3 linked regions of the Tamandua tetradactyla genome follow. The protein of the gene in region 2 purifies or fractionates together with the protein of the main gene of each other region. This does not show direct contact. Links are inferred from orthologs where the notes say so. Each region holds a gene or a part of one and is shown on either strand. Other genes may lie near its edges.

Region 1 (10,400 bases), on a different chromosome or scaffold from region 2:
ATGAAAGAAAAAGTTAATGATTAATTCTTTTACTTTTAAGAAACAAATGTACTAGAAAATAGGCAAAAGTATGAAATAGCCATTCTCTCTCCAAAATAAGTCAAATAGCAAAATGTATTAAAATAAACACTTAAAGAAATACAAAGAATAACAATATTGAGCTATTTCCTGTCTCAATTTACACATAGATAAAAATAAGTTCTTCTAAAGCCATTTTGAAAGAGAGTCAATTGATAATAGTAAAGCCTGCTTCAAAGTACTTTTTGAAGTGATGCTAGTGTCACCTCATAGCAAATAAGAACTACTACTACAACCTTATGAAAAGAATATTTACTGGCAACTATTGAAAGGTGAGATGCAAACAAAAATTAACTGAGCTGGGACTAAGTGATTTATGTAGAAAATGCTACTGTCAAATAAAAAATTAGTAAGTACTTAGCATTAAACTGACAAAACAATCTTCTTAGATTTAATTCTAAAATTAAATTATAATTATAATTTTATTAAGTAAAGCTAATGCTCTGATTAGAGTTCTAGCCATAAAGTTACTGACTTTTTTTTTTCTGGTATTTTCAGCAGCCTTACATTCCTGGGATGAAAAGCAAAACTTGTGAAACTAAATTATTCCTAATGGTCTACAATTAAGACCTTCTCAACTCATCATCTTTTCAATAAAACAAAGGAAAACTCAGTATCTGGACAGCTATGTTAAAGAAGCTTGATTCTTAGATCTGAAATATGTCTTCTGTGGCCTTTATTTCTATTTAGCTCTGAAGATACTCAAAGTTCCAGATTTTCATTCTACAAACTCCACATCATAAGATGCCCTCACATTTGACTTGGGTTTCAAAGGGACAGAAATAGGAATAATTGTATTACATGAGCTGTGATCATACCTTAGATTTCTTAAATGAAGTGATTCCTGTTTGAGTGCAAACGGATTCTATTTGTATCATTTAAAGGTTTTTTTAAAATAAACTTTTACTTATTTCATTCAATATGTTACATTTACAGCACTTCACCAAGCCCTTAATAACAATTAAATTTGTACAAAAGGTTACAGAGCACAAAGAAACACTTCATAGAGACTTGCCTGCCATGGGGTCATATTAAAGTCGCTGACATATGAATAACAGAAAAACGTTTTAACAGCAAAGTATTAGAAAATGAACCTTGAAGAAAATCTTAAAAATTCTTAAAAACTATTTTCTACATCAGCAGTTTATGCTTTTAAATGAGCAACAGCATAAACTATACTTATTCTTCAAATTTACTTAACTGGAGCATTGTATAGAAAATGTTTTAAAACCATGTTTAAAATAATTTAGTTTTAGATGTTGCATTGCAGCAATTCCCTCCTAAACTACATATTTTGAATTAGGATCAGGATCCAGTAGGTTTAACAAAACAAACCTGGAGAGGATTTTTGTTTAGAGATTTTTTAATTTCACCCTTCCCAGCTACCGTTATAATTCCAAACAAGCTTTTTTTAAAAAATAAAACAGTTCATTTAATAAAGTGAACAAAAATATGAGGCCTTGAATTAATGTACTTACTATATGCAAGAAATTAATTCTCGAAAATAATGAACTATGTTGCCTCACATTTTTCAAGGCTAGTCACTCAGTTGTATTTTTGCTTATACTATGTTGCTGTTCTTTTTTTTTTTAACCAGACTAAAATGCCTACCAGTTTATCTTAAGGTCAACTGTTATTAATTGATTCACAACTCAATCACCTATCCATTATTTCCAATATTATCATTTAAATTTATTAACATTTCCAAGGAGGTTACAACTTAACTTATTCCAAAGGAAACTACTTAGAATAGACATATGCTTCCCGTGGTAATTATTTGTTTCTTTTAGCTCTTTCCTCATTTTATATGTCATATTTGGGCTGCAGTAGAAGGTTGACTTCCAACCTATCCTTAATACAATTTATGAATTTTAAATTTTAGCATTCTAGCAAAAGAGTATTAGCAATGCTTACAGATACTGCATACTCAAAAAACCTGGAGAAATAAGACATTCTTAATACAAGCTTTAAAGGAAAATAGCTTTGATGTGTCAAACACTGTTGAAACTGGGAAATCACAAAAACTCTGAGAAACTAGACGCCTGATGTATGCCAACTAACAACCCAGGCCCTGCAAGCTTCCTCTGATTCCATGCAAAGAAGACAATTCTAAAGGAAAAGATGACTGATTTCTTTTGTACTTAACTTCTTGTCTTCCCAATGATGTCATTAATAGCAAGAGTTTTTCTTGTGGACTTGTTAACAAAGAAACAGCCTGACAGTCTTCACACAGTAAGAGTTGGCAGTTGTGTTAGTGATCTAATGACTTGTTTGCCAAAAGCCTACCAAGAGCAACGTGGAGCTAATGCGTGCATTTTCTAGAGCTGAATTTTGGGAGCCTTCACATAAAACCTCAAAGGAGTTATATGCTAATACTTACAATCATCAATATCCCATCTCCTGTGGCTTCTTTGCCCTCATTTCCAAATTAAGCTACCCAAACAACATAGTAAATACAGATGCCATTAGGGAAAAAAATCAACATGTTAAAAATTGGTACCACGAAAGCCACGCAGAAAAAAGTTCTGCCACATGCTATTACCAAGAAAGAAGAATCTTATTTTTGGCCACAGTTCACTATTCTGTATGCAGTATCTTACTATGCACGTTAACCTCCTTGAACTGGGAATGTTATTTTCAGAGACCTTTTGGTTATGAAAGACACACTTCTGGTAGGGATATGCCTTCCTCTAGAATTCTGACTAGCATTGTTTTCACGTCCTATGGGATTATACCATATTACATTTTCAGAAGCATAAAAATCAGGTATCAAAAAACAACCACCTCACATTCTGCTCCCCTTGACAATGATAAACCAATTCTAGTTAAGTTATGCTTTACCCTACAAAGGGACACTAGGTCAGCATCGTTGGGATTATCTAAATGAATTTTCTTCACCACGGATTCTAACTGTTAAGTATGACTCTAATACCAAGAATGAGAAATCTAGTTCACTGGTCAATTTCTATCTTTTTCAAAAGTTTGCTTCTTATAATTCTTTCTGATATACACCAAATAGTAAAGCTCTTTCCTAGATAATTATATCATAAAACCCAGTAAGGGGGAGATTTTGGATCCTTCTGGGCACTTATTTGACCGATCTGACTATTCTTTTTAGGTCTCGATTCGCCATTTGCTTTTGTTAATAAGAAAAGTCACTCATAACTCCAAAGGCTGGTGAGTGAACATCTGAGGTACAAGCATATTTGAATTATTTTGCTAATTTTTCTCCTCCCGAGACAGAAACAATACGGTTGAACATGCAGTTATATATTTCTATAAAACAAAGCCATCTCCTCTATTTAAGTTACAGTAGGGCTGGCCTCATAGTTCAATATTGCTAGCTGAACTACTTTCTCCTAAGTATTTTATGAATGGGGGTTGTCCAAAACAACAAGCACCACCAACAGTAACTACACACACACACCTAAACAAACGCAACTATGCACTAAACTTGCTCCCCGGATGGTTCCTCCAGCGCCCCGGGTGGGGGAGTGTCCCAGCCTGAGTCTAGGCACCTCCCATCACCGGGCACCGAAGACCAGGGTGGGGACGATTCAGAAAAACCCAGGCAGCTGCGCAGTCTTCCTATCAACGGTTATCTGAACCGGCAAACCCAAGTGGGGAGGGCTGGGACACCACTACTCCCTTCTCAACTCTGCACCTCGCCATTGCCCTGAACTCCCCGACCAGCCAGGTCCGATGACCAGGGACGGGCGGGAGGGGGGAACCACTCACCGCCATCATGACCGTGTCTTCTCCCTGAAACTTGGCGACGTACTTATCGCCGCGGTTCACTTCAGACTCGTTGAGAGGTCTGAAGCGACACATCACTTTGATGTTGCACTCGGCCGGGTCCGCCATCTTCCTCGCCGCCGGGTCTGGAGGCCGGGAGCCACTCCCCGCTGCTTAGTCTTGGAGAAAGCAAGCACGAGCTGATGAGGTTCTGGTCTCCGGGGAGCGCCAGCGAGCCCGGGTCGCGGGGGTACGGAGATTCCGCAGACGCCGCGCCGCGCGTCCCCGGGCGGGGCAGCCGGGGAGCGGAGACTGGAAGCGCCGGCGCCGGCAGCCGTCGGCCTGAGGCTCACTTCCGATCCATCATGGCAGCCATGGCGGCGGCACTCGGCAGAGCGTCCCGCAGCTCCCCAACTTCTCCCTTGTCGGCCGGGGCAGACTGCGGGACCTCCGGGAATTCTGAAGACCCAGAATGCCGCCCCCTCCTTCCTCCTCGAGAAAGAGCCCGCCGGGTTGACCTGTCTGCCCTCCCGGTAGTGCGCTCGCCGGCTTGCGGGAGACCGCCTGATCCGACAGTCTCCAGGGCGCAGGCGCAGGCGCGGCGACCGGGCGGCGGGGAGCTGAGGGGAGCTAGGGGGTGCGGCGGCCAGCGGGGGAGGGCAGCTCAGGGCGGGGCGGGGACGGCGCAGGCGCAGGCGCGGCGGGGCCGAGGCACTCGGGCGACCAATCAGCCGGCACCTCCCGCGACCGTTCCTCGGTGAGGAGCTGCAAATTCAAGTTTCTCGGAATGCTACCTTGAAAGACCGCGTTTGGATACTCCCCGCCGCCTGCCACTGATATTCCCCAGCGCTTTCTTTTCTTTGTCGGGGGTTGGGAGTTGTTTAAACAGTTCGTGTAGTATGTTTTAATAAAATGCTATATTCCTAAAAGGAAGCGCTTGCTTTAGTTTTGTTCTGGAGGAGAAATTGATTCCTAGCCCAACTTTTTTAGAACGGCTGCTCAGACAAAGGAAGAGGATTTGGATGAAGAGTGGAACATGGCTTTCTCTTTAAGAGGTTGCTCCTTCCTGACAGTCGGCTGGGGAGACCAGAATAAAAAAGGAAAAAGAAATTCCCTCTAGGGAAGCGAGAAAGAAAGTTGCTGAAGAAATACGGAACACTAGGGTGAGGTGTGTGAGGCCATCGGTGAATCGGAGGGTTCCACTTCGCTGATAATAAATTTTAAGACATTATCAATCCCAACATCTGAGAAACGACTGAGCTGGAGTTAGCAGAAAGATGTTCTTAAAAGGCTCAGGTAAACGTGTGTATTGCAAGTCTGAGGAGCACCCCGCCACGGTTGATTTCGCTTCCTCTTTTTGGAAGGATGTCATAGAGGATATATAGCTTCATGTGTAAATGACTGAGGCTCTGGGGAAGGAGAACTGAAAAGACAGTTAGGAACTCTTTTTCGGTCTCCAGTTTTTGTTTGTAAAATGAAGGCTTGGAATGAAAACCTCCAGTGTGCCTTCCTGGCCCAATCATCCTAGTACCACCGAAGATTAACCCACAGCCCCAAAAGATTCAGGTTTTTGAACTCGTTGCAATGAGGAAAAACTCACACCTGGGAGGAACCCTAGGGCATCTCACCAAACAAAGGAAAAGATGGAGTTATCACGGGATTAGGGAGATGTATGGAGTTTATGTAAAATTTAGATGAAACACTGTTTTGAGAAGCACAAAGCGCAGCACACCTGTGTGAGTCAAGGGGTCAGTACCGGGACTGGACCGGCTGTGTGAGTCAAGGGGTCAGTACCGGGACTGGACCGGCTGTGTGAGTCAAGGGGTCAGTACCGGGACTGGACCGCCAAGTGGACCCAGGGTCCTGTTCCTTTAGAAATTATAAAGGTGAGAGACATGGAATGTAGTCTTCAGAGACCCCTTCTCCAAAGCTCTGCACCTGGCTTGGAATTTGAGGCTTCTTTTCTATGTCTTCAGTCCTCCAGGTGACACTGGGATGTTTCATTCTTAATGCTATAATCTCTAACAGCAATTTCTGATAGTCTGATTTTAGAGATCAAAGTTTCTCAGTAAGAAAGCAAAAGTCACTCAAAGAATGGGATCATTGTGACTCTTTACAGATGCAACATGTCCTTGGGAGAAATACTATTTCTTGTTAACTTTGCAGCTGGCTTTATGTGTATTTGTTAGTCCAGTCTGGTGAATGACAGATTTTTACTCCAGGGATGACAGTGCTTTCCTTCCCTAAGACTAATTTTTCATCTGCATTTTCCAACTTCATCTACTCTCTGGATCCTATTAATGGTCCCCATCTTCTAACAACTTTGATTTCTCCCTTTTCTCAACCTCTCTAAAGGGGTGTGTGTGGGGGGGGGGGGAGAAAACAAATATGTTTATTCTCCCCGTCTGTAAAACAACAACAAAATCTAACACTTTTGGTGTCTGTTGTTTTTAATCTTTTTTGCTGCCATTAAGTAGGTGAAGTTTATTAGAAGGGACCGTGTTCACCTGGACAGCCGCTCCTTCATCTAAAGGAGGCAGTGGGGACTCAACTTCCTCCATGGGCAAGATAGGCTAACACTGTCAAGTCTTCCTATTTTCAAGAAAAGCCATAACCCAGATTTTGTGAAAACTCCCAGTTCTTAAATAAATTGCCCATTTATTTAAAAATAATTTAAATAATGTGTACGCTAGGTAAAACATTCCTGCAGGCTGTAGATGTCAGATGGGCCACCAACTTTCAGCCACACTGCAGCAGAATTTCTTGAAGGCTTTGTCCTCTGCCCACTGCTCTTCTCTATGAGCTCACTTCAACAGTTGTCAAATCTGTGTCAATCCCAGCTTTTCACTTGTGTGACATTTCCATCTCCAGTTGCCTAGAGGCCACCTTGTTTAGAATGCTCTATCATAATCTCAAAATTAACTCTGCAGAAATAAAATTAATTATCCTCTGCTCCCTGCCAATATTTAATTCAACTATTCAGCTTTCCAGTTGTGATGATGAGTATCATCATCTTCCATACTCCCAGGCTAGAAAAGTTATAATCACCTCTTAACTCTGTTTCCTTCATGCCCTACAATCCAGAAAAGAAGCACAGTCACCCATATCTGAAGTTCCTCAACTTTTACTCCATCCTTCCCCTTTATAACCAGTTCAGAAGATATGAGGAATGATTGATTTAGAGTAGTGATTTTTAGACACCACTCCATGGATCCCTAGAGATTCCAAAGAAGTGAGTTAGGAGACTTCCTGGTTGTGGGAAGGGAAAGGAATGGTGAAAGGGCCAAGGAATGAAGTTCTAAGAACCTCTGCTCCTCATGGTATTGACCAACTTCTGTTGCCTTTCAAATCTTGACACTTCCTTCCCCTTTCCCAACAGATTCTGGAAGCTCAGGCTTTATGAAAACAAAAGCCAAAAAGGGAAGTGTCTGCAAGAGCCTTCTGTTTTCAGTCCTGAAACAGATACTTTTCAGCAAGGAAAAACAAAGATCTTGAGTGTCATCACTGAACCAGGGCAGAGAAAAACACTATGTGAAAAGCACAGATACAAAAATTATTCTGTCGTGCTAATAAAGAATAGCGGTACTAGGCAAAAACAGCTTTAAGAAATATTTTGTTAGGGGACCAAAAGATTGATAAAAAACTGGTTAATCCCAGTTTTCTTCCAAGTATAAAAAATGTTTTCATTATTCAGCCTTAGCAGTGGAACAGTAGATTTCTTTAAGAGTCCATTGAGACTCATTAATATAACTTTTCCTGGTGAAGATGTGAGTGGTACTTTCACCTGCACACAGTTAGAATATTAAATATCTGCTGTGGAAGAATCTCCAAAGATGATCCTCCAATGAACCAGGCCTACATGAATTCACAACTTTGTGTAGTCCCTCTCCTTTAATCTGGACCGGCCCTGTGATTCAGTAAATGTGGCCAAAGCGTGATATCTCATGACATCTGACAGTAGGTGAGAAGAAGCTTCAGAGCTTCTGCCTTGGTCTCTTCAAACAGTCTTTCTGGGAACTCTGAACTGCCATGTAACAAAAACAACTTCCCTGAGAACATCATGCTGGAGAGGCCATATGTAGTCATTCCAGTCAACAGAGCCAGCAGACCACAGCCTTACAGCCATCCCCACCTAGGTGCCAGGCATGGGAATGAAGCCATCTTGAACTGTCCAGACCAGCACATCCACGAGTTGAATACCACTGAGTAATCTCAGTTTATACCCCTTGAAGCAAATTCCTTACCCATTAAAATCCTGAGATATAATTAAAAAGTTAGTGCCTTAAGCTGCTCAGTTTTGAATAACTTGTTACATAGCAGTAAATAACTGAAATAATACCTTCCAATTTGGAATCCTGGAAATAATTCTATAAAATGTTACTTATGTATCATAGATATACTTAGATTGGACTATATTTTGTATTAATTTTAAATTAAGTAGTTGAAGGGAACCTAAGAACATAACCACTGTTTGTATCATTGTTAATATAAGAAAATTTCTTTTATAATTTCAGATGAAGTGACTTATTAAAAAATGGGCTTTCCCCAGTCTTGGGGTTTGTTCATATGAAACTTAACCCCACAGGGGTCAAGCCTACATAAAATTAGGCCTAAGAGTCACCCCTAGGAGAACCTCTTTTGTTGCTCAGATGTGGCCTCTCTCTCCAGCCAACACAGCAAGTAAACTCACCACCCTCCCCCTGTCTACGTGGGACATGACTCCCACAGGTGTGGCTCTTCCTGGCAACGTGGGACAGAAATCCCAGAATGAGCTGAGATTCAGCATCAAGGGATTAAGAAAAACCCTAGAATGAGCTGAAACTTTGCATCAACCTAGAAAAAGAAATAAAAAAGAAAAAGAAAAAAACTCATACATAATACATACCATACCCCATACCCCTCCCTCTCATTGACCACCAATATTTCCATCTACCCAATAAATTTTAGCCTCTGCTTCCCCTATTTTTTTCTATACCCCTTACCACTCCCTTTCATTGCTCACTAGCATTTCAATCTACTAAATTTATTTTAACATTTGTTACCCCATTATTTATTTATTTTTAATCCATATGTTTTACTCATCTGTCCATACTGTAGATAAAAGAAGTATCAGACGCAAGATTTTCACAATCACACAGTCACATTGTGAAAGCTATATCATTATCTAGTCATCTTCAGGAAACGACATTGCCCAGCTTGTACCACTTTTTGTTTCTTCCGGAGTTAATAATTGCCTCACTTTTTCATCATTTTATCCCAAATCTGCATTGGAAGTATAAGGCTAGTCTTGATACAGTTGAACACATCAGGTTGCCCATCGGTTTTTCCCTTGGAAACACCCCCCTTTATGGTCTCTGTTCTTCTGCTCTAAATTGGACTGGTTGCTTCCTGGCACTGATGCATAGTTGTCATCCTGGAGGTTCCACTCACCATTATCTTTCATATCCTCTTTACCTCTCTTGTTGGTTGACTTCCTTTTCTCCTTCATTTTAAAGAATATTATTCATTTAATAAATATTTATGAAGTGCTTGTATGTATCATGTATTGTTTTAGGCACAGGGAATTCACCAGTGAACAAAATGTCCTGCCATATGGAGGTTACATTCCAGAGAAAATACATGAAAGATAAATTTTTTTGAAATCTTACATATATAAAATATCTTTAACTTCAAACTTGATTGATAGTTGGGCTGGGTACAGAAATCTAGGTTAATAATCACTTTCTCTCTGAAATTTGAAGCCATTTCTCTATGATCTTCTTCTAACTCCTGTTTTTAGTGATGAGAAGTCTGATTCCTTCTGAGGCCTAATATTTGTATGCGATCTGCATTTTCTCCCAGGCAGCTATTAGTATCTTCTTTTAAATCTATACTTCTCTGCTTTGTTTTCTATTTTCCATCTCTTTTTTGTTTTTGTTACCCTTTTTGGGAGAATCCCTCAACTTTATTTCTAACTTTTCTGTTGGTTATTTCCTTTAGGAATATATATATATATAGCCTCCCACCCTCCCACTCACAAGAAATCTTCTCTGAATGGATGCTTTTAATGAAATTTTGGTCTTGTTTCATAAAGCAATGTCTTCTCCTACGTTTTGTTTTTAGTTTTTTTCTGCTTTCTAAATTGTCACTGTGGTTGTTTTGATCTTTGTCATGCAGTTTAGAGGATCTCCTCAAGTGTGTGGTGGGCCTGAGTGTTCTAAAATGTTTGAGTGAGAAACTACACTTGTTGGAAGTTCTGTGCATGTGGGTAAGGTTTGCGGAGTGATGGGTTTCACTACTGGGTGACTGGCAGGACCTAGCCATTCCATTAGGGAAATTCTAAATGTTATTTTGGGCTGCTGATTACTTTCCCCAGAGAGGAATTCTCCAATTTCTTGCCAAGTGAACTTAAGCTTGGCTTGTGTACCAGACTTTTCTTTGAGGTGGGTGGGGTTGGTAGATCTCAGCCTTCCACTGGTAAACTTTTGTGTCTCTTTTTTCAGGAAGGCGACTCACTTCTATTCTCAGCTGTGGCTGGTTTCCCTGAGTTTACTTAGTCTATATATGGTTCAACGTGTGCAGAAAGTAAGCTTCCTTCCTTCTGTTGT
Region 2 (9,257 bases):
GTCTCAGAGACAGGGGTCCTGTATCTGAGGGTCTTAGGAGAGTGGAGGTCGGGAGCCTCAGTGGTTGGAGAGCATTTGGGGGCTCTGTGGAACAACTAGGGGGTCTTCCTGGAAAGTTTTGGTGGCTCTGTAGCTGTGAAGCTTTGTAGAGGGTTGGGGGGGCAGTTCTCAGGAGGGCCTGGGGCACTGGTGGTCCTGCAGAGGTTGGGGGCCCTAGGGTTCTAAGGAGGGTCAGGAGGGCTGCACCCCTCAACACATGGCAGTCCCTGTCTCGCCCTGCCCCACAGACCTGGCCCTCCGCGGGCGGGTCGTACTGCCGCAGCTGCCCCAGGAATTCGAGGTGGCTTTTCTCCTCCTCCAGCTGGGCCACGGCTTCCTCGCTGGCCCGCAGCCGCCGCTGCGTCTCCTCCAGCTCCTCCCGCAGCCATGCGTTCTCCTGGGCCAGCCGCCGGGCCTGAGCCCGCAGCCGCTGCTTCTCTGCCTCCAGTGCGCCCACGTGGGCAGACAGCGCCAGCAGCACCTGCAGGGGTGGGGGAGGTGAGTCAGGGTCAGGGCCCCAAATCAACCCCATTCTCTCCAGGATCCCCCAGATTCTTCACGGATTCCTCCAAATATAGTCCCAGAGATACTCAGGACACCCCCCGCCCCCATTTCACCAAGGCACACCCAGTCAGTGACCTTGACTTCACTTCCTATTCCACTCCTCCCTCCCCAGCATCTCTCTAGGACCCTCAGTTCTGTGAAAGGACTGGTTCAAGGGTCCGTGCCACACACAACGACCCCCTAAAGCTGTCTAGGACCCCTTCTCTGGCCTAGAGCCTCCCCCTCCCACGGCTGGTCACCCAAGGCCTCCCCCTACCCCAGACCCACTCCTCTGCAATACTGGAGACCTACACCTGTCCTTGCCTGTCCTCAGCCTGACCCCACCCCTCAGTCTACATTTCTCAGGATATCTGGGCCTCCTCCACCCCTAGGCCTAAGTCACCCCCATACCTGGCCCCTCATACCTGGGCCTCGCCCAGCCCCAGCTCGATGGCCTCCAGTGAGTGGCTCACCACCTGGTGCTTTTCTTCCAGCAGCTCCAAGCCAGCTGCAGGGCCCTGTCCTGCCAGGGCCTCTGCCAGGTGCCCGGCCAGGCCATGGTGCTCAGCCCGCAGCGCCTCCAGCCCCTGTACCACCTGCCGGGTCTGCCGCACCAGCTCCTCAGGGCTCAGGCGCTCGGGGCCCAGCCCCGCACCTCCAGGACTTGCCACCTGCACCGACATCGCTGCTCCTGGGGGGTGGCCAGGGTTGGGGGAGTCGGTGCCAGCCCCCTCTCCCCATGGCCAACCCAGCTGGCAAGACACCCCCAACTCCTCCCCATCTTGCCACCCCCCTGCCTCCACTCCCATTCCAGCCTGCAGGACGCCCCCCAGCCCACTGCAACCTCTCCCTGTGCCACTAGGCCCTCCTCATCCCAGCCAGCCCCCTGCCTCCACACCTGTCCTAGACAGCCCTTATCTGGAAACATTCTGGAAGCTTTGGGGACAGGTCCAAACTCCGCCATGTGTAATTAACCAAGAGAGGCATGCAGCAGGCTCGTGGCCCCCACACCTCCCCTGGCTCACCTGGCCACTCCTCCCCACCCCAAGGACTCTGGATACTCTGACCCAGAACTCCCAGCTGTGGGACCTGGACCGGGCACCCTCCTCTGTGGGGCGTGGAGCCAGGCAGGGAGCATGGAGGCGGCAGCCTCTCCATGAGCTCATTGTTAGAGTGTTTTTGCTGGAAACCAGTCAGACCACTGGCATGGGCGGGGTGGGATGGAGAGGGCTGAGAGGCTGGGGTGCCGGAAGTAGAGGAGCTCTCTAGATTGGGGGACCAGGCGGGGGGGCGATCTGTGCCCCCATGTGGCTCTGATGGGGGAGACTGACAGACCTGGGGGGAGCAGGGCCCCCACCCTCCACCACATACACGCCCAGTGGCCCAGGGCGTGTGGGGACATGCGTGTGGCAGGCGTGGCCCACGGATGTCACACTGGCCCCATGACAGCCGAGGGTCCGAGGCCCTGATTGCAATGGGTAAGGTTCTAATGCGGGTGGTAGTGGTGGCTCAAGGTCACCGATCCCAGCTGTTGGTGCCTGTGTGACCCTCAGAGACACACTCGCATGCACACACGGCCTGCAGGAAACATACCACGACATGCACACGCACACTCCACTCTCTTCTCAGAAATTCAGACAACACATTCTCCTTTCCAAAACACAACCCAACACACACACTCTCTCCTTTCTTTGAAACACCACACAATACACACACATACTCTCTTCCCAGATACAACGTGTACACACACCGAGTGCACACTATCCTAGAAATATAATGCCACACACACACTCATGCACACCATGTTCTCCTTTCACAGATACAACCTAATGTCATACACACACACACACTCTTCTCAGAAAAAACACACCATACTCTCCCCTCCTGGAAATACAACCCAACACTCAGGGTCATTCTCTAAACGTAAAAGCCAACACGTGCAGAAACTCTCTCCTCCCCCTTCCCCTTATCTTGGAAGATCCAAGTAAATCCCCTCTCCCTCATATTCCGAGGGTCTCTGGACCTCCTCACCTGCCCCCATGCCCCATGCCCCCTCCCGCCTGCACAGGGCCGCCAGCAGCCAACGCCCCCTCCGACCCTCTCCCCCAGATTCCTCATGGACAGGTCTCCACCTCCCCCAATTTCTCCAGCCTGCCCCCTCGCCTGGCCAGCCAGGCCTTCATGCCCCTACACACATGTGCACATGCACACCACACGTGCAAGTCACCCCTGAACTTACTTAGCTTATTCCCCCTGCTGGAAGTAGGTTCCGCCAGTATAGATGGCAGCTAACACTCAGAGAAGGCAGTTCCACAGTCACACTCAGCACATGTCACTGAAGCCACAGGGACCCCATAAGAGCCTGGGAGGCCGGCACCTTCTCCACAATCACAACCACACACCCTTGGACACACGCAGGCAGGAGGGCTGCCCTGCAGGCATTCTGTGCCCTGATGGCTGCCGGTCCACCTCTCTCCCTCTTTCAACACGTGTACGTGTGTGTTCGTCTCACACAAACCACACGAACAGTCAAACCCAACCGCACAGGCTCCTCAGCAGTCACCCCGACAACCACAACCGTGCGTCGCCCGGTCCTGTGGACTCAGCCCGTGCGCTGCGAGGTCATATGCAATCTCAGCCATAACTGAGCTGCATGTGCCCGGGGGGTGACTGCAGAGTTCTGTTTCCAGACACACCGTCCCCCTCATCCAGCCCCCACAGCAGGCGGCCACCCGGGTGACAGGATGGCAATCACGCCCTGCATGCAGAGCGCCAATGCGGATACCTGCGTCTGCCCTGTCACACCCATCCCAGCCTCATTCCCATGGGAGCCAGGGGACTGTCTCGCCCACACGTCCCTCAGTCTGTCCATCCCCACCCCCCTGTCTCCCACACTGACACTGCCTCAGGCCGCGGCACAGCACCTCCGTGCAGACACGCTCCTCCCTGCCTTCGCTCCACACACACACAGACACACCCCTCACTCTACCCACCCACAGTTACACGCACACCGTCCCATGCTACAGTCCAGCCTCCATCAGCCACACACAGGGACATGCCACCACCTCTCCCCCAGTTCCCTCACACATACACACACACACACACCATCCTACAGGCACAAACCTACGGTTACACACCTCCTGCTCACATTCGCACACACAGCTGCACACAGGCGTTGCTCAGAGACACACAACCAGACGGTGCCTAGTCTTGTATTATTCATCCTGACCTAGGGCTGCTCCCGTAAACAGCCCAACTCCCGAGACACACACACACACACACACACACACACACACACACACACACAGCCATCAGCAGAAAGCTGACCAGCCCCACTACACAAAGTCCTAGAAACAGCCCAACTTCCCAACACACACACCATCAGTCACAACCAGAAGGTCATCCACATTTTCACCTCATGGATCACACAACCCACATCATCCACGCACGCCCTCCACCCGCAGGCGGTGACCCAGACGCTTCCTCTCCCGTTCACACGCACACCCACAGCCTTATACCATCACACACTCGTACACACCCCAAGGGCCTCGGGCACCATCTCTCAGACACACAGGCGGGCAGGAGGCTCCAGGCCGCCCCGGCAAGTCCGCACCACCTTACTCCCGGCGGGCCGGCCCAGTACCCCGCGCCCCGGCCTCCCCGCCCGTCACAAGGGACTCCCTCTCTCCCCCTGCCCCGCACCCCCTCCCCAGGCCCCGCCCTGCACTCGCGGCTGTTTACCTGCGCGCGGGGGAGTGGGTGCGGCGCGGGCCGGGCCTCCAAACCCCCCTGAGCGACCCCAGGGCGGGGCAGGGGGCGCTCAGGGACCGCGAGGCCCGTCCCCGACGTCAGGGGAGCGTGCCCAGGAGGGCGCCCAGCCCGGCGCCTCTCCCTCCGCCCCCGCAGCCCCTCCCACACCCCCATCTTCGCGGTCCCCCGGGACTCCCGGCCCGCCCAGCCCGCCAACCTGTGCCCACCTGTCCGCGGACGCCTCCGGGATCCGCTTCGCCGCGCTGCGCCCCGCCCCACCCGCGCCGCACCCCGCTCCCCGCTGAGCCCGGCTGAGTCCCGCGTCTCCGACCGCGGCGTCACCTGCGGGGGGCGGGGCGGCCAGGGAGCCCCGCCCCCCGCAGGTGAGGCCGGCCCCGCCCCCCCGGCCCAGAAAAGTGTAGACCCGCTGCGCCTCCCCGCGGGAATTGCAGAACTGTCGGTGCACGTCGGGTCTGAGGATGATCCCAGCGCGCTGGGGGCCTGGAAAAGAGGGGCCTCGGCTAAGCTAGCGTCTCGGAAACTTGGAATCTCGGACGCTTGGGATCCCAGATCCATGGCCGCTGCGCTATGCCGGCCGCGGGGCTTCTGCTTTGGTTGCGCCCGCTGCTTGGAACCGTCTTCCTACAGATCTGCGGACAGATCTCGCTGTGGTCGGGTCTCTTATCAGAGGTTGCCTCCTCCGAGAAGTCTTCAGTGACCACTCCGTCTAAATTATCTTCCCACCAAAATACTACTTCATTTCCCTGCTTGATCTTGTTCACAAAATTGTCTAGGGCCTGAAGTTATTTTATAAACACATCATTTCACATTTATTATGTTATAACATTTATATCATATATCATCTCAGTTATCATATTATATTAGATTATTAGAGAGGGGAGGTAATATGATGGTTAAAAATATGGGCTCTGGATTCAAATCCTGATTCCAGCATTTACGGACTGTGCAGTTCTTGGGTAATACTTTACCTCTCTATACCTCACTTTCCATTCTGTAAAATAGGAATAATCAAAGGGTTATTGTTACATATGGACAGTACGTTTATCAGGGTCGGGCATATGGAGACACTTAGCAAATGTTAGCACTGATTGTATACTATTATAATTATTGGTACATTTTCTTCCATTTCTAGAATTTGTCAGCTCCTGACCTTGTGTATTGTCAGAAGTTTATCTTTAGCACTAGAACAGAGCCTGGAGCTTATTGGGTGCTCGATAAATATTTGTTGAGTGACTGACTAAACGAATCAAACCCTAGAATCATAAAATGGTCCAAGCTTGGTGCACAGGATTTTTACCTCAACTCACGCTTTTCCAAGCATCTGCACTAGGGGCTGCTTCCAGCAGAGGGCGCCTTGGGACCGTGAACCAGGCTCCCGACTTCAGCGCAGGTCAGTTATCTCCCACGGAGCCACAGCCAACCTGTTGCTTCCTCTCCTCCTCCAGGAAGCCCTCTCTGATTTCCCAGGCTGGGTCAGACATCCTTTTGGGGGTCCTGCAGCCTCCTGATCTCCCCCATCCCAATCCTGCCCACTCTGGGTTGTAGCTGTCTAGGAATGGGTCTGTTTACACCACGGGACAGGAGCCCCCTATGGAAAGGAAAGACCAAGTCTGTCTCCCATCACTGCCATGTTCCTAGCACGTCCAAGTACAAGTGAAGGCACTGGGGAGAATGGTGGTGCCTAAATGATGGAATGCACAATCTAACTCTTCCAGAGGGGGCTGGGAGGGATAAAGGGACAGCTGAGCTCCCCTCCTTACACCCACTCCCATGCTTTTGGCCTCAGGACACTGTATGTTGGTTCTGCACACAAGGCAGGGTGGGTGATAGACTGGTGCAAATCCCAGCTCGGCCATTTACTGGCTGTGTGTCCCGGAGCCGGGAGATAACCTCTCTGGGCCTCGGGCTCCCCATCTGTAAAACAGGACTTGTGAGGGTAATCTACTTTATCAGGCTGTTGTGAGGGTTAACGAGTCATCCCGAGAAAAGGCTTAGGAGACGGTGGTGGCACACAGCAGATACTACATGTGTGTGGGGAGGGGTGGGGGGGCCAAGGGACCTGGAGCCAGGTAGATCTGAGTTTGAATTCTGGCCTTGTCGTTTCCTTGTCATGTGACTATGCAAGAAATGACCTCATTCTGAGCCCATGTTTCCTCCTCTGAAAAACAGGGATGATCAGGTTTACCACACAGTATTGTGGAAGGATTCAATGAGGGAAAGGTTGAAAGAAGAAAGTTAACTAAGGCAACCATCTCTTTAGGCTGGCCCTGTGCCAAGCAACTTTCCCTCACACCAATGAGGGCTGGTGTTTCTGAGTTCTTAGCCACACCCAGGTGCTGAGCCAAGCTCTCCTACCAACCCTACGAGGCAGGTGCTAGGATTATCCCCATTCCACAGATGAAGAAGACGAGACACAGAGAGGTTGAGTAGCTTGTCTAAAGTCACACAGCCAAGTAGTAGCAGAGCCATTAAATCCATACAATAGTCACCTGAGGTAGGTACCATTATTAGTCCCACCTAAGATGAAGAAACTGAGGCTCAGAGAGGAGAAATAGGTTACCCAAGTCCATATCCAAGAAGGCAGTCAACAAACACCCCATCCTGTTCCATAAGGCCTCAGTTTGCCAACTCAGGAAAATGGGTGGATGGGTCAAGGATTTTCTTTTTCACCTCTCATCCAGTTTTTTTTTATTTTCTAACATTTTTAATTGTGAAAGATATATACACAGAAAGGAAAGAAAAAGCAACAATTTTCAAAGTGCACTTCAACAGAATAGATTTCAGAGTTTGTCAGGGGCTACCACTCCATTATTTCATATTTCAGATTTTATCTTCTAGCGGATCCAAAACACCGGAGGCTAAAATCAGTGTAGTGATTCAGCAGTCATATTTATTTGTTAAATCCTATTTTCTCTGTCATACCTCTTCCTTCTCCTTTGCTCCTTCTCCCAATCTATAGGGATCTTTAGGTAATGCTGGTTCTGATTTTTTCATGTTGAGAAGGAGTCTCAACACTAAAGGATAGGGGGATGTACTTAAGATAACCTTGGAGAGGCTGGTCCCTCTGGTGTTTCAGGATGTATCTGGCCCGGGAACCCTCTGGAAGTTATAGGTTCCAGGAAGTCAAAATTAGTGTGTGAAACTTTTATAGCGTCTCCGCTCCAGCCCTAGGTGTTCTGAAGAGTCAACAGGAGTGATGCTGGTTGGGGGTTAGCAAACCATGGCAATCAGCACTCTCCAACCGACGCTCAGGTAACAGTAGCCTCCGGAATAGCCTCTTGACTCCATTTGGTCTCTCAGCCACTGATGCCTTATTTTATTACACTTCTTTCCCCCATTTTGATCAGGAAGGCTTTGCCGGTCCCTTAGTTTGGCCAGTTTAAAAAAAGTCTTATTTTTCCCCCCTTAATTGAAAAATTTATGCACCGTCAGAAAAAGAAATTCACAGAATATAAAAGGAGTGAAAAGTAGGTCTTCATCTCTTCTTTATTTATTTATTTATTTTATTAATTAAAAAAATTAACTAACACAACATTTAGAAATCATTCCATTCTACATACGCAATCAGTAATTCTTAATATCATCACATAGATGTATGATCATCATTTCTTAGTACATTTGCATCGATTTAGAAAAAGAAATAGCAAGACAACAGAAAAAGAAATAAAATGATAATATAGAGAAAAAATTAAAAATAAAAAATACAAAAAATATATATAAAAAACAAAACAAACAAACAAAAAACTATAGCTCAGATGCAGTTTCATTCAGTGTTTTAACATAATTACATTACAATTAGGTAGTATTGTGCTGTCCATTTTTGAGTTTTTGTATCTAGTCCTGTTGCACAGTGTGTATCCCTTCAGCTCCAATTACCCATTATCTTACCCTATTTCTAACTCCTGATGGTCTCTGTTACCAATGACATATCTTCATCTCTTCTTGATCCCTAGATACCTTCTCACATACCTTCCAGAGATCTTCCACGGCTTTGGGCTGTGTGCTGATATAGGAGTGTGTGCGCCCATTGAAGTAAAACAAGTGAGGAAACACCTCTCCATGGAGGTGGGCTGAAGATTCGTTGGCCTTGACTTTGGGCTTGGCCACGTGACAACTTTGCCAGTTCTACGCTTAGGCCTTCGGAGACCTTGCATGTTTACTTTCATGCGCTGGCATCATCATCAGAAGTGTTTCTCCTACGTGGCTGCTCCCCCTTTAGCCCACACCCCACGGTGGAGATGTGGGGGACAAATTTCCCACCTGAGCTCAACCCAATCAGCCAACCCTCAGCTAATCCCACATCCATGAGAATAAATGGTTGCTGTTTTAAAGCCACTGAACTTTTTGGGGGGAGATGTGTTTCATAGAGCTTTTGTGGCTGTAGGCATATCGGGTTTTTTTTTTTTTTTTTTTTTTTCACTTAGCATGTATAGATCTGTGTGCTGGCTTGAAAGGATGTTTGTCCCCTAGAAAAGCCATGTTTTAATCAAAACCCACTTCATAAAGGCAGAATAATCCCTATTCAATACTGTATATTTGAATCTGTAATCAGATCATCTCCCTGGAGAGGTGATTTAATCAAGAGTGGTTGTTAAACTGGATTAAGTGGAGGCGTGTCTCCACCCATTTGGGTGGGTCTTGACTGGTTTACTGGACTCCTATAAGAGAGGAAACATTTTGGAGAAAGAGAGATTCAGAGACAGCAGAGAAGAACGACATAGCCACAAGAAGCAGAGAGCCTACAAGCCAGCGACCTTTGGAGATGAAGGAGAACACCTCCTGGGGAGCTTCATGAAACAGGAAGCCAGGAGAGAAAGCTTGCAGATGACGCCTTGCTCGCCATGTGCCCTTCCAGCCGAGAGAGAAACCCTGACCCTGTTCGCCATGTGCCTTCTCACTTAAGA
Region 3 (10,070 bases), on a different chromosome or scaffold from region 2:
AGATAATTTCATTTGTGTCTGCTCTCCCAGTAATTAGCACCCCTTTCTTTCAAGGTGTCCTGATTTCACAAATTATCATGACGACCCTTTACTTTTATGGCAGTTGTTACTATGATTTAGTACATTTAAATGAGCTTCTGAAATTGTTCCTAGCAACATAACTAGTATAGATATTTAATTAGATCAAACCAGGAAGTTATTTATCAATCCAATTTGTCAACTTGGATACATCAGTGTTTATCAAACTAGTACCTAATCACTGAAAACAGTAAAAGTAAGTAATTCTGTTGTATTCCTTACTACTTTTTAATGGCTTCTCTGACATCCATCAGGGGTTATTTGGAACATTTGTAAATCATCAATCTTTTTTACTCAAAGTTTTAATGACTATTTCATTAACTTAAACCCCACATTCAATAAAAGTATTTTATACAAATGCATGGCAGCAATCATACCCCAGTACTAAACAATGGTTTTTAAAGGTACTGGTCACAGAAGCTGTAAGTGAACATACATTCTACAATTACTTAATTCTAACTGCATTCACTATGCTTTGAGTTGGGATTTATGTTTTATCTACTAATAATCACTCTTTATAATACTAGTCAAGTCATAAAGATGTATTACTAATTTGAGGTAACTGCTTAAAGAAAAACAAGCACCACCTTAGTTATATATAGGTTTTTTGTGAGCCGCTAAGGAAAAATAAGAGTATGGGTCTAAAGGTGACCAGACAAATTTGCCATTTACTAGCCAACTAGTCATGTGACTATGTGGGGAGAGGGGAAGATACCACTAAATCTTGTCAAATTCAGCTTTCTGAACCATAAAACAGAAGTAACACTACTTATACCTCAATGATGTTATATGAAGTAAAAACCTCATGTGAAATGGTCTGTGAACTGTGAAAACTATATACAGTATTATATAATGTAAAGTCTAAAAAGTTAACCTTTAACCTATCATTGTTTACATACACATTTTCTTCATATAAAAGGTAAAAAAAAATTCCTGCAAAATCTGCCTTATGGTCCTCTTTTTAACAGTCATGCTTTCAGTTCAGCTTCTCAAAAGTATTTGAAACCCATCTGTAAAATCAGACACACTAATTTACTGGGCTATTTAAATATTTAAAATATATTTCATATTCCCTTGACCAAGCTAAAAAACAATCATGAAAAGCATGCTTGTTTGTACAGACCTTCCATGCACATGCTTGTACTTAATGAATCCAAAGTTTGCTTAGTTTAATACTTATGTATTCTTCCCCATACAAGAGTTCAAATTGAGACTTCTGTTATATACAGGTGAAAAAGGGTGCTTAGGAATGTCCACAATAGGGTCCCCACCACTCTAACTAGAGTAAGATAGAGGTGGGGCTCTGGTGTTTTACAAGGACAGTTCTCAAGTAAAAGATTCAGGACAGAGATATTCCTGGTGTTGATGCATTCATCACACAGAAAGTGAATAAAAAGTGATCATCAAAAACTCTGCAACCAATCTTCACAGGAGTAAACTGAGGTAAGAACAAAAGAACTACCCCACAAGCCCAAATGTAGTTTATGCCTACTCCTCTACTCCTCCAAAATGGGAAAAGGAGCCTTTGTTTTCCTCTGTATTCCCCAATTTTCTAAAAGTACTAGTAAGACTTGGTTCAGGATTGCTAAGAGATGAAGGGACTTGCCTAATATGGCTACCAATACACAATCTGACTTGCTCAAGTGACAAGATGTCAAATTTAATCTTCAAAGTGAACGGTCTTAACAGCAAACTTCAATATTTCATATATATATCCCCAAATTATTATTTTCCTGAAAACAGCTTGTCTCTTCGTCTAATACCATTAAAAAATCTATAAATTGATTGCAATTCCCTAGGACAGAATTAAATAGGAAACGAATCTACAAAGAAGTTTAGACATTAGGTTCAACACAGCACACAAAAGACAAGGATACTGCAAGGACAGAGAAAAAAAAGCGATTAGTGCAGTTGGAAAGCCAATATTTACCCCTAAGTACCCCAAATCCAAACCACTCAAATGAATTTTTCATCTTCTTCCACTCACTACACCTGATAAATTTTTTTTGGTGTAGAGAACTATGGATCATTTCTTCGGCAACAAAAAATTGAATTCATTGATTGTGCTCAATAAGAAACCTATGCATCTGTGGACACAGGTAAAGACTGATCCCCAGTGAGTATTCTTCCTTTCCACTGAAACTCATCACAAATAGTCACAGGAGTTTCCCCCACCTTTGTAGATCCTATTTTCCTCTCCCTTTAGCCCTTGAAATGAAAACGTAACATTTAAACAATGTAAAAATCTGGCTCCAGCAAAAAAAAGTCCTATATTGAAAATCAATAAAGACTTGGGTCAAAATTCCTCAGCACTCAATCCCAAAACATGATTATCACTAAATTATCCTTTATTTGGGAGATACAATCATGAGCTCCCAGATCAGCTTTTAAAACGAGTTTTGTTTTTTGGTGTTTTTTTTTTTAATAAGAAAGCATTCCTCAAGATCCTTTTTGGTTATCACAGCACGTTTACTCAGAGTCTAAATCCCTACAGAACAGAAAGCATTCAAATATAATTTAAAGTTTCCTCCCCCAACGGCAACAGCAGATTAAAAGGGGAACCTATTTGGGACACCAAGTGGGAAAAAAAAACTCCCACTGCAAGCATACCTACAATTGTTTGAATTTTAAACACCGAAATAAAGACAAATCTGACCTTGAGCTGTACTTCCCATCTTATTCCCTCATACAAATAGCAATGTAAGGACTTAGACGATGAAATTTAGTGCAGTATCCTTCTCTAAATTTGAGTTCTAGCCACCTACCAAAATTTCAAATTCCCGAATCCTAATTTCTGGTGAAACACTAGAGCTAGCCCTGAGGCTATTCGCATGACCAAAGTGGTATTCAAGGAAAGCAAGAGCTCTACGACATTTTGAAAAATAAGTAGTTTAAAAAAGTAAGAGAATTCTAAGGATCGCACTTAATGACGACCATGCCAGACCCCCCCCCCCAAAAGCATAAAAACATCTATCTGCATAGGGACCATATAAGATTTTTTTTCTCATATGATGCATCAGTTAAGTACCTGGAATAGCTTAAGAACCACTCCGATCCTGGGGAGTTAACCAAAATGCAGCTACTCTACCTTATTTGAAATAATTTTATTCTTCTACAGAAGGTCGTTACGTTTTTCATAAAGGTGCATGTGAAAAGAAAAGTCATTATTTTTACAACCAGTAAACTGAGACACGGGAAAGATTAGAACACGATCTCCTTGTCTCCTCTTTAAGGTTCTATCCACGAGAACCCACTGCTCCTGGAACCAAAGATTACAAGAACTTCAAGCTTCTCTGAATAAGTCCGAAGAAAAGGAGAATGGATGAGGTTTTCTGGACCTCCCCAGAAGAACAAGTAGGCGAGGCTGAACGTAAAGCCCAAAAAACCATCACTACAAGGTGTGCCACCCTACGGGAAGGGAATTCGATCGCAGCATCTCAGCTTGCCTCCGCCCAAAGATGAACTGCAGTGATTCCCACTCTCCCACCAACACCAAGAATGTCCCCCACCCCAAGTCCAAAGAAACCCTCTGCTCGCAACGGTCCTCCTTTGTGAGTCTCCACAGCCGCCGCCCCACACTGGGCCTCCGGGGAAAAGCCACCGCCCCCACCCGCCATGTTTCCCTGAAAGACACCAGCGCTACAGCTCCCAGTCTCCACCGTCCCCTATGTGGCGGGTGCCTCTTCCCCATCACCCCACCCAACTGTTCTCCATATCACAAGACAGTCCCAGAAGCTTCCACGGAATTGCTCGCCTGGAGACAGCACGGGGCCATCTCCTCCCCCCTCCCCCGCCCCAGGACTCGCCCTCCCCCAGCCGCCATTTTACAACCAACTCCTCCACCCTATCGCCTTAGTCTCCTAGCCCGCGAATGGCTGCAACTGAAGACACCGAAGGGGTCTAATTCCTGGGCCTGGAGCCTCCCACAGCTCCGGCAACCCAGAGGCCATTTCCTCCTTCCCGAATCCACATCCCCAGGTCAGGGCCGGAGACGATGCCGCCATTTTGTCTCCTGCTCCTGGCCTCTGTGGGCGGCGGCAGAGGGTCCGAGAATCCCAGCCCCCAACTGCACCCCCCAACTCACCGTCGTATCGCTCGGCCTGCTCGGCCAGCTTCGCCTGGTACACCAGATCTTCCCGATCATCCATAGCGGCGGCGGCTTCGGCAGGGTGTGCACGACGGATGGAAGCGGATAGCGTCTCGACTCTCTCAGCCTCTTGCTCCGCGTCCGGGCAGCAAAAATGGCGGCGCCTCAATCCGGGACTTCCGCCTGCGCACGCGGACAACTGCTCAGCTCTATGGCAACCGCTCCCTGGCAACTGGCGCGGGGGGCGGGCCCTCGAGCTCGGCTCTCGAAGAGGCTGAAACCCGCGAGACGCCCCGCCTCCGTTGGCTCCGCTGGAGCTGGAGTGTAGAGACTGCAACCGCAGCTGAGGGGCAGCGCTAACGGCGAAGAGGGAGAGAGGACAGCCGGAGGCGCAGCCCGTGTGAACCGCGCCTGAAAAGACTGAGCGAGCGATCTTGGGCTACTACTGTGGGCCCATGCCTAGGACTGAAGGGCAGGGAAAGGGACAGGCTGTTTTTGTCATGGCAGGCCTCCCTATCGAAATCAACTGGCTTCCTTTACCGTGCCCAGGTTCTCACGACTAAACCCAGTCCTGGGTCTTTTCAGACTTTTTAAACCCGGAGTAAAGTGTTGGGCTCTTGCTAAGGGGGGATTCCAGTTTTTACATCTCGTCTTCTTCCTTGCACTTTCTATTTTTTCTTCTCCCCTTTAGCCTTCTTTTAATGCTTAGGTCCACGTGGATAGGAGCAGGAAAGTTGTTCGGGGAGCCTGCTTTGGGTTACAAGGTGCCGAAAAGTTGAACCAAGGGAAAACTTGATTTTGAGGAAGTAGGAAGATCTGTCAATGGAAATTGCTTGGTGTTAGCAACGATCTGGACCGTTTTACTTCTTTCACCTACCTTTGAAACACAGGTGTTCTCCGAGGTTTGCTTGGCGTGCTGCTTCACCTCCAAACACTCTCTAGCTGCTTCCATGGCAGCCTACCTTCTATTTCTAACTCCAGTCTCCCTTTCCAAGTTCATGCAGGGTATTTCTACTTGGATGATCTTTGGGGACATCCCCTCAGAATCAACATGTGTTAAATGGAACTCATCTTTTTCTGCAGTACACCAGTAATTTATTGAGGAAATGGATTTCCCAGTTCCTCAATAAATGGCTGTGCAAAGAATAAAACAGGTAAATAAAACCTAAGTTATGTGGTGGGCTCTGCAGTCGATGTGGAATGAAAAGTAGGTTGTAGCCAAATTACCAAGAGTCTTATATGGCAAGCTAAGATGTTTGTATCTTATTCTGTGGACACAAGGGAGCTATTGATGATTTTGCATGGAAAGATAGTACTGGCAAAGATAGTACTGGCATAGAGATTAGTAGGTGTTGAATAACAATGGTTACAAGGTATGTTAAATGATCAGAATATTACAATAGTCCAGTCAAAAGGTAATGGATAGTGGCAGTGAGAATAGGAAGGAAAGGATAAATAGGAACGGCACTAGAGAGGTAGAAGCCCCAAGAGTTTGTAGATGACAGGATTTAGAAATATTCTGAGAGGGTGAAAATCAATACTAACTTTCCATCTTCCCACCCTGAGTCACTGGGATAGTGAGTGGCAGTACCATAAACAACGAAAAATGGAATGACAGGAAGACTTACTGGTGTACTGCAGAAAAAGGAGATGAGTTTCATTTAACACATGTTGATTCTGAGGGGATGTCCCCAAAGATCATCCAAGTAGAAATACCCTGCATGAACTTGGAAAGGGAGACTGGAGTTAGAAATAGAAGGTAGGCTGCCATGGAAGCAGCTAGAGAGTGTTTGGAAGTGCAGCAGCACGCCAAGCATAAAACCTCAGAGAACACCTGTGTTTCAAAGGTAGGTGAAAGAAGAGCCAGCAAAGGAGACTGCAAGGCTTCCTATTGCATTCCAAATTAAGCTTCTTCACACTTATTATCACTTAACAGATTTCAGTGGTAAAAGACTAAGAGTCAAAAGATCTAGGTTCTAGCTCTAATTCTACGACTAAATAAATGTATGACCTTCAGCAGGACACTTCAACCCTCTGAGCTTTGAGTTCATCTGTACAGTAAAGGAACTGGATTTTCTGGACTCGAGATCCCTTCCAGCTCTGTACGATACATCACAGCAGTTAAAGCCATGGGCTCTGGACATCTTGGATTCAAAAGCTACTTATTGCCTCTGTTATGGGGGCAAATCATTCATCTTCTTTAAATCTCAGTTTTCTCACCTATAAGATGAGAAAGATATTTTCCTCATACAAATGAGAATTAAGTGGGAGATTGCATGAAAAGTGCCTGAGACTCCATAAGTGTTTGGCAATTCTTATCAATGGTTCTATGATTCAAGCTTGAGTAAGAAACATAAGTTAATATAAGTGAGAAGAAAAAAAAAAGGGGGTGGTAAGTAGTGTGAAATGATGGAGAGATATCCAATAAGATAAGCACTGAGGAAAAGCCACTGGGTATAGAGTTAGGTCTTTAGTGTCCCTCATGAGCAACTTGGAAAAGGTATTGGAAGCCAGGCTGCATTTGGCAGAAGCTCAAAGAAGGAGAGGGGGTGGAAGGGTTGAGTATAGGGCTCTCTCAAGAAACAGCAGTGAAGAGATGGAGGGTGAGAGAATAGTAATCTGAGAGAAAGGAAAGAAAATGGAATTGTGAGTGGCCAAAAGGGGTGGTCACATATTGTTGAGCCACAGGTTTGTTCCACATGTTCACGTATCCCACCCACCTTAGAAAGCTGGCTCTGCTGCCAGGTCAAATACAGAGCTGTCACGGACATGCAGAGATTAGGGGTGGGTACGCTTCTTCCCAACTGCGTCTTCTTTCCTTGCTAGGAGCTTCTCAACACTGCTTCCAAAGACTAGCAGAGTCTATCCGAAGGTGCCCCTTCCTAAGAAACTGCTGAGAAGGCAGAAATCTTAAACTTAGATTGATTCTCAGATTGTACTGCCTATTCTCTAAGTAAACAAGGTTTACAGAAATTGTTTACAGGGCACCAAAAATTGTGAACAGACTTTGAAATGGCATCTGGAATTATAAACACATAAAAAAAAAACATGGCTGTTTAGCATATAATACTGCCCTTTTTACCACTGTTGTGTTAATAGATACTTTACACTCCATTGAAAATCCTCTAAAACAACAGGTCATTAAGGTCACACCCTTAAGTAGAAGTCTCCAAACTTTACAGAATTTGCTTTAATAGAAATAAGAGCTCTTTTGACCTGTCTGGATGAGAGTATCCACAGATACATGTCAGCGTACTAAAAACACTCACAGAAGGAAATACGTTATTAAAAAAATGTGATTAGTCATTGCCCCCAGGAGCTTGCAGTTTTATTGCTTTTCTAACATTTACCACTATTGTGTTCCTAAAGCATTATTTTATTAAAATATTATTATAAATATAGGCTCATTTAAAAATCTTAGACCTTTCTGAGTTTAATTTTTTCCCCTATATATCTTTATCATCAAAATGCATTTTTGAAGTTATGCAGTCACATGAAAAATTCTCACAATGTATGTAGAAGCCAAGATATAAAATTACATATTCAGTATTGTGTTGTTAAAATACAATTATACCTATTTAAAAAGATCAGAAAAATAAAACAATATTAAATAAGTTTTGTTTCAGTAATGGGACTACAAGTGATTCATTTTCAAATTTATACTTTTTTGTATTTTCATAAATGTCTTTATTATCATGCATTAATTTATGGAATCAAAGGGTGGAAATTTTTAAATGACTATACTACATTATTGTTCTGCAGATTGCTTTTTTCATGAATAGTACCTATAAAACTACTTTATTCTTTTTAATTACCTTATGGTATTCCCTTGTATGGATGTTTAAGAAAGAAATCTTCTACTGATGAACATTTAAGCTCTCTGCAGTTTTGCTATTACTATAACCGGTGCCCGCTGGCAGTGGTGCCAGCTGAGCCCCAATCCAGGTTCGATCCAGGTTCATTATTAGTCTCCACACTAAAAGAATTTAGAGGTGAGAGGGCCAGTAGGAATCAGTAGTAAAATTTGTTAAAGGAGAGAGTACACGTTAAAGAGGTTAATGAGGATGCTCCCAAGGGAGGGACATGGGCTGAGTGTAGTGTGTAAGCTTATTTTATAGGAAAGGTTTACTGGTGGCAGGTTTCCATAGTAACTTTTGAAACTAGGTGTCTTCTTTGTTTTAGGAAGAGATAACTAGGGGAATTCATTCCTGGTTTGTTGTCTCATACCTAAAATTTGTCTTTGGGCAGATGGTTAATAATCTTTATGACCCTATACTTCCTATTATTAACTAAGAATTTGTTTGATGCCCAGAATATTACAAACTTTTGTGGTTTAGGAAAGTTTCCATGGTTTGGGGGAGGTTTGGGGGCTTTAGGGGAAATTTTTGTCCCAGAAAGTTTGCAGCTGAAGTTTGCAGTTTGCGTTAGTTCCTTTGGCACGAGATAAGAAGCAAGAGACTTGCAGTTGTCTGTTAACTCATTGAGAGCTGAATAGGAAACCAGGAATTTACAGTTGTCCTATTTTATCCTGCTTCATTACAATTAATACTGCAATTAACTCCTTTTTATCTTTACACATGTATATGGGTATTTCTGTAGGGGGATTATTTTCTAGAAGAGAAATTATTGTCAATGAATTTGCACACTTTTTTTGTAATCTTTTTAATAAAGTGTAACATGCAAACAGAAGAGTGACTGATCACACTGCAATAACAGTTCACAAAGTGACGATAACTCATATAAACTGCCCCTAGTTCCACAAACTCCCCAGAAACCCCCGTATATGCCCACTTTCATTGTTATGATCACTGTGAAATTGCTTTTCATAAATGTTATAAAAATATGATACTGCCCAGTTCTCTACATCCTCTCCAACACAGATATTATCAATCTGCTTTAATTTCTGACAATTTAATGGGTGAGGAGAGACTGTCTCATTAACTTGCATTTCTTTGGCTGTTTTATAAGTTTGAAGATAATTATCTATCATTTGTGTTTCTTCTGTAACCTTTCTGTATATTATCCTTGTTCATTTTTCTATTGGGTTGTCTTTTTCTTATTATTTTGTAGGAATTGTCTGTGTTTTATGGACATTACCATTTGGCAGTTATATATGATGGAAATATTTTTTCTTCTTTGCCATTTGGCTTTTAACTTTATGGTGACCTTCAGAGAAGTTTCAAATATTTTTTAGTCTGATCCTACAGTCTTTTCCTACGGGCCTCTCAGATTGCTGTCATCTTTATAAAAATCTTCCAGACATCCAAACATATAAAAATTTGTGCCTATACTTTCTTCTTGTTCTCTTACAGTTTTTTATCATTTATATCTTTAATCTATTTGAAATTGTGTGTGTTGGGAAGGTAGTCATCCTTCAAAAAAATCAATAGTCCTAATACAATTTTAAAAAAAAGTTATTTCTCCTATGGAACTATTAAACCTGACCATCAGGGAATCCCCTGATACTGTTTCCAACTTTAGGGACACAAATCAATAGACCATGCCCTCGATCATGAGGTTTACTCTTGTGAAGCTTATGTAGGTAGCATAAAAGCTTGGACTACCTATAGGCATGCCAAAGAGTTACTTTTGGAGAATCTCTGTTGTTGCTCAGATGCGGCCTCAGTCTCTCTAAGCCTAACTCTGCAAGTGAAATCAATGCCCTCCCCCCTACATGGGACATGATATCCAGGGGTGAAAGTCTCCCTGGCGACATGGGAGAGTTCTCCCAGGGATGAATCCAGACCTGGCACCGTGGGATCAGCAATTTCATCCTGACCAAATGGGGGGAAAAAAGCATAATTAATAACGTATCAGTGGCAGAGAGAGTTCAAATAGAGTTGAGAGGCTACTCTGGAGGTTGCTCTTATGCAAGCTTCAGGTAGACCTTGCTACCTATAATAAC

The links.
Region 1: the proteins of KLC3 (region 2) and KIF5B purify together in Homo sapiens (affinity purification with mass spectrometry; 3 studies listed by BioGRID and IntAct, with this or other methods). This does not show direct contact. The link is inferred for Tamandua tetradactyla from reciprocal best matches to the Homo sapiens genes KLC3 and KIF5B.
Region 3: the proteins of KLC3 (region 2) and YWHAE purify together in Homo sapiens (affinity purification with mass spectrometry; 3 studies listed by BioGRID and IntAct, with this or other methods). This does not show direct contact. The link is inferred for Tamandua tetradactyla from reciprocal best matches to the Homo sapiens genes KLC3 and YWHAE.

The regions. Positions count from the first base shown.
Region 1 is NC_135327.1:219,146,675-219,157,074, reverse strand, and holds the start of KIF5B (kinesin-1 heavy chain), read right to left. Parts: upstream 4,420-10,400; 5' UTR 3,943-4,419; coding exon 3,817-3,942; intron 1-3,816. UniProt on the Homo sapiens protein: Microtubule-dependent motor required for normal distribution of mitochondria and lysosomes. Can induce formation of neurite-like membrane protrusions in non-neuronal cells in a ZFYVE27-dependent manner.
Region 2 is NC_135342.1:15,649,952-15,659,208, forward strand, and holds the start of KLC3 (kinesin light chain 3), read right to left. Parts: upstream 4,664-9,257; 5' UTR 4,560-4,663; intron 4,222-4,559; exon of another isoform or gene 4,121-4,221; intron 1,274-4,120; 5' UTR 1,266-1,273; coding exon 1,008-1,265; intron 521-1,007; coding exon 290-520; intron 1-289. UniProt on the Homo sapiens protein: Kinesin is a microtubule-associated force-producing protein that may play a role in organelle transport. Plays a role during spermiogenesis in the development of the sperm tail midpiece and in the normal function of spermatozoa.
Region 3 is NC_135332.1:55,180,393-55,190,462, forward strand, and holds the start of YWHAE (14-3-3 protein epsilon), read right to left. Parts: upstream 4,350-10,070; 5' UTR 4,227-4,349; coding exon 4,163-4,226; intron 1-4,162. UniProt on the Homo sapiens protein: Adapter protein implicated in the regulation of a large spectrum of both general and specialized signaling pathways. Binds to a large number of partners, usually by recognition of a phosphoserine or phosphothreonine motif.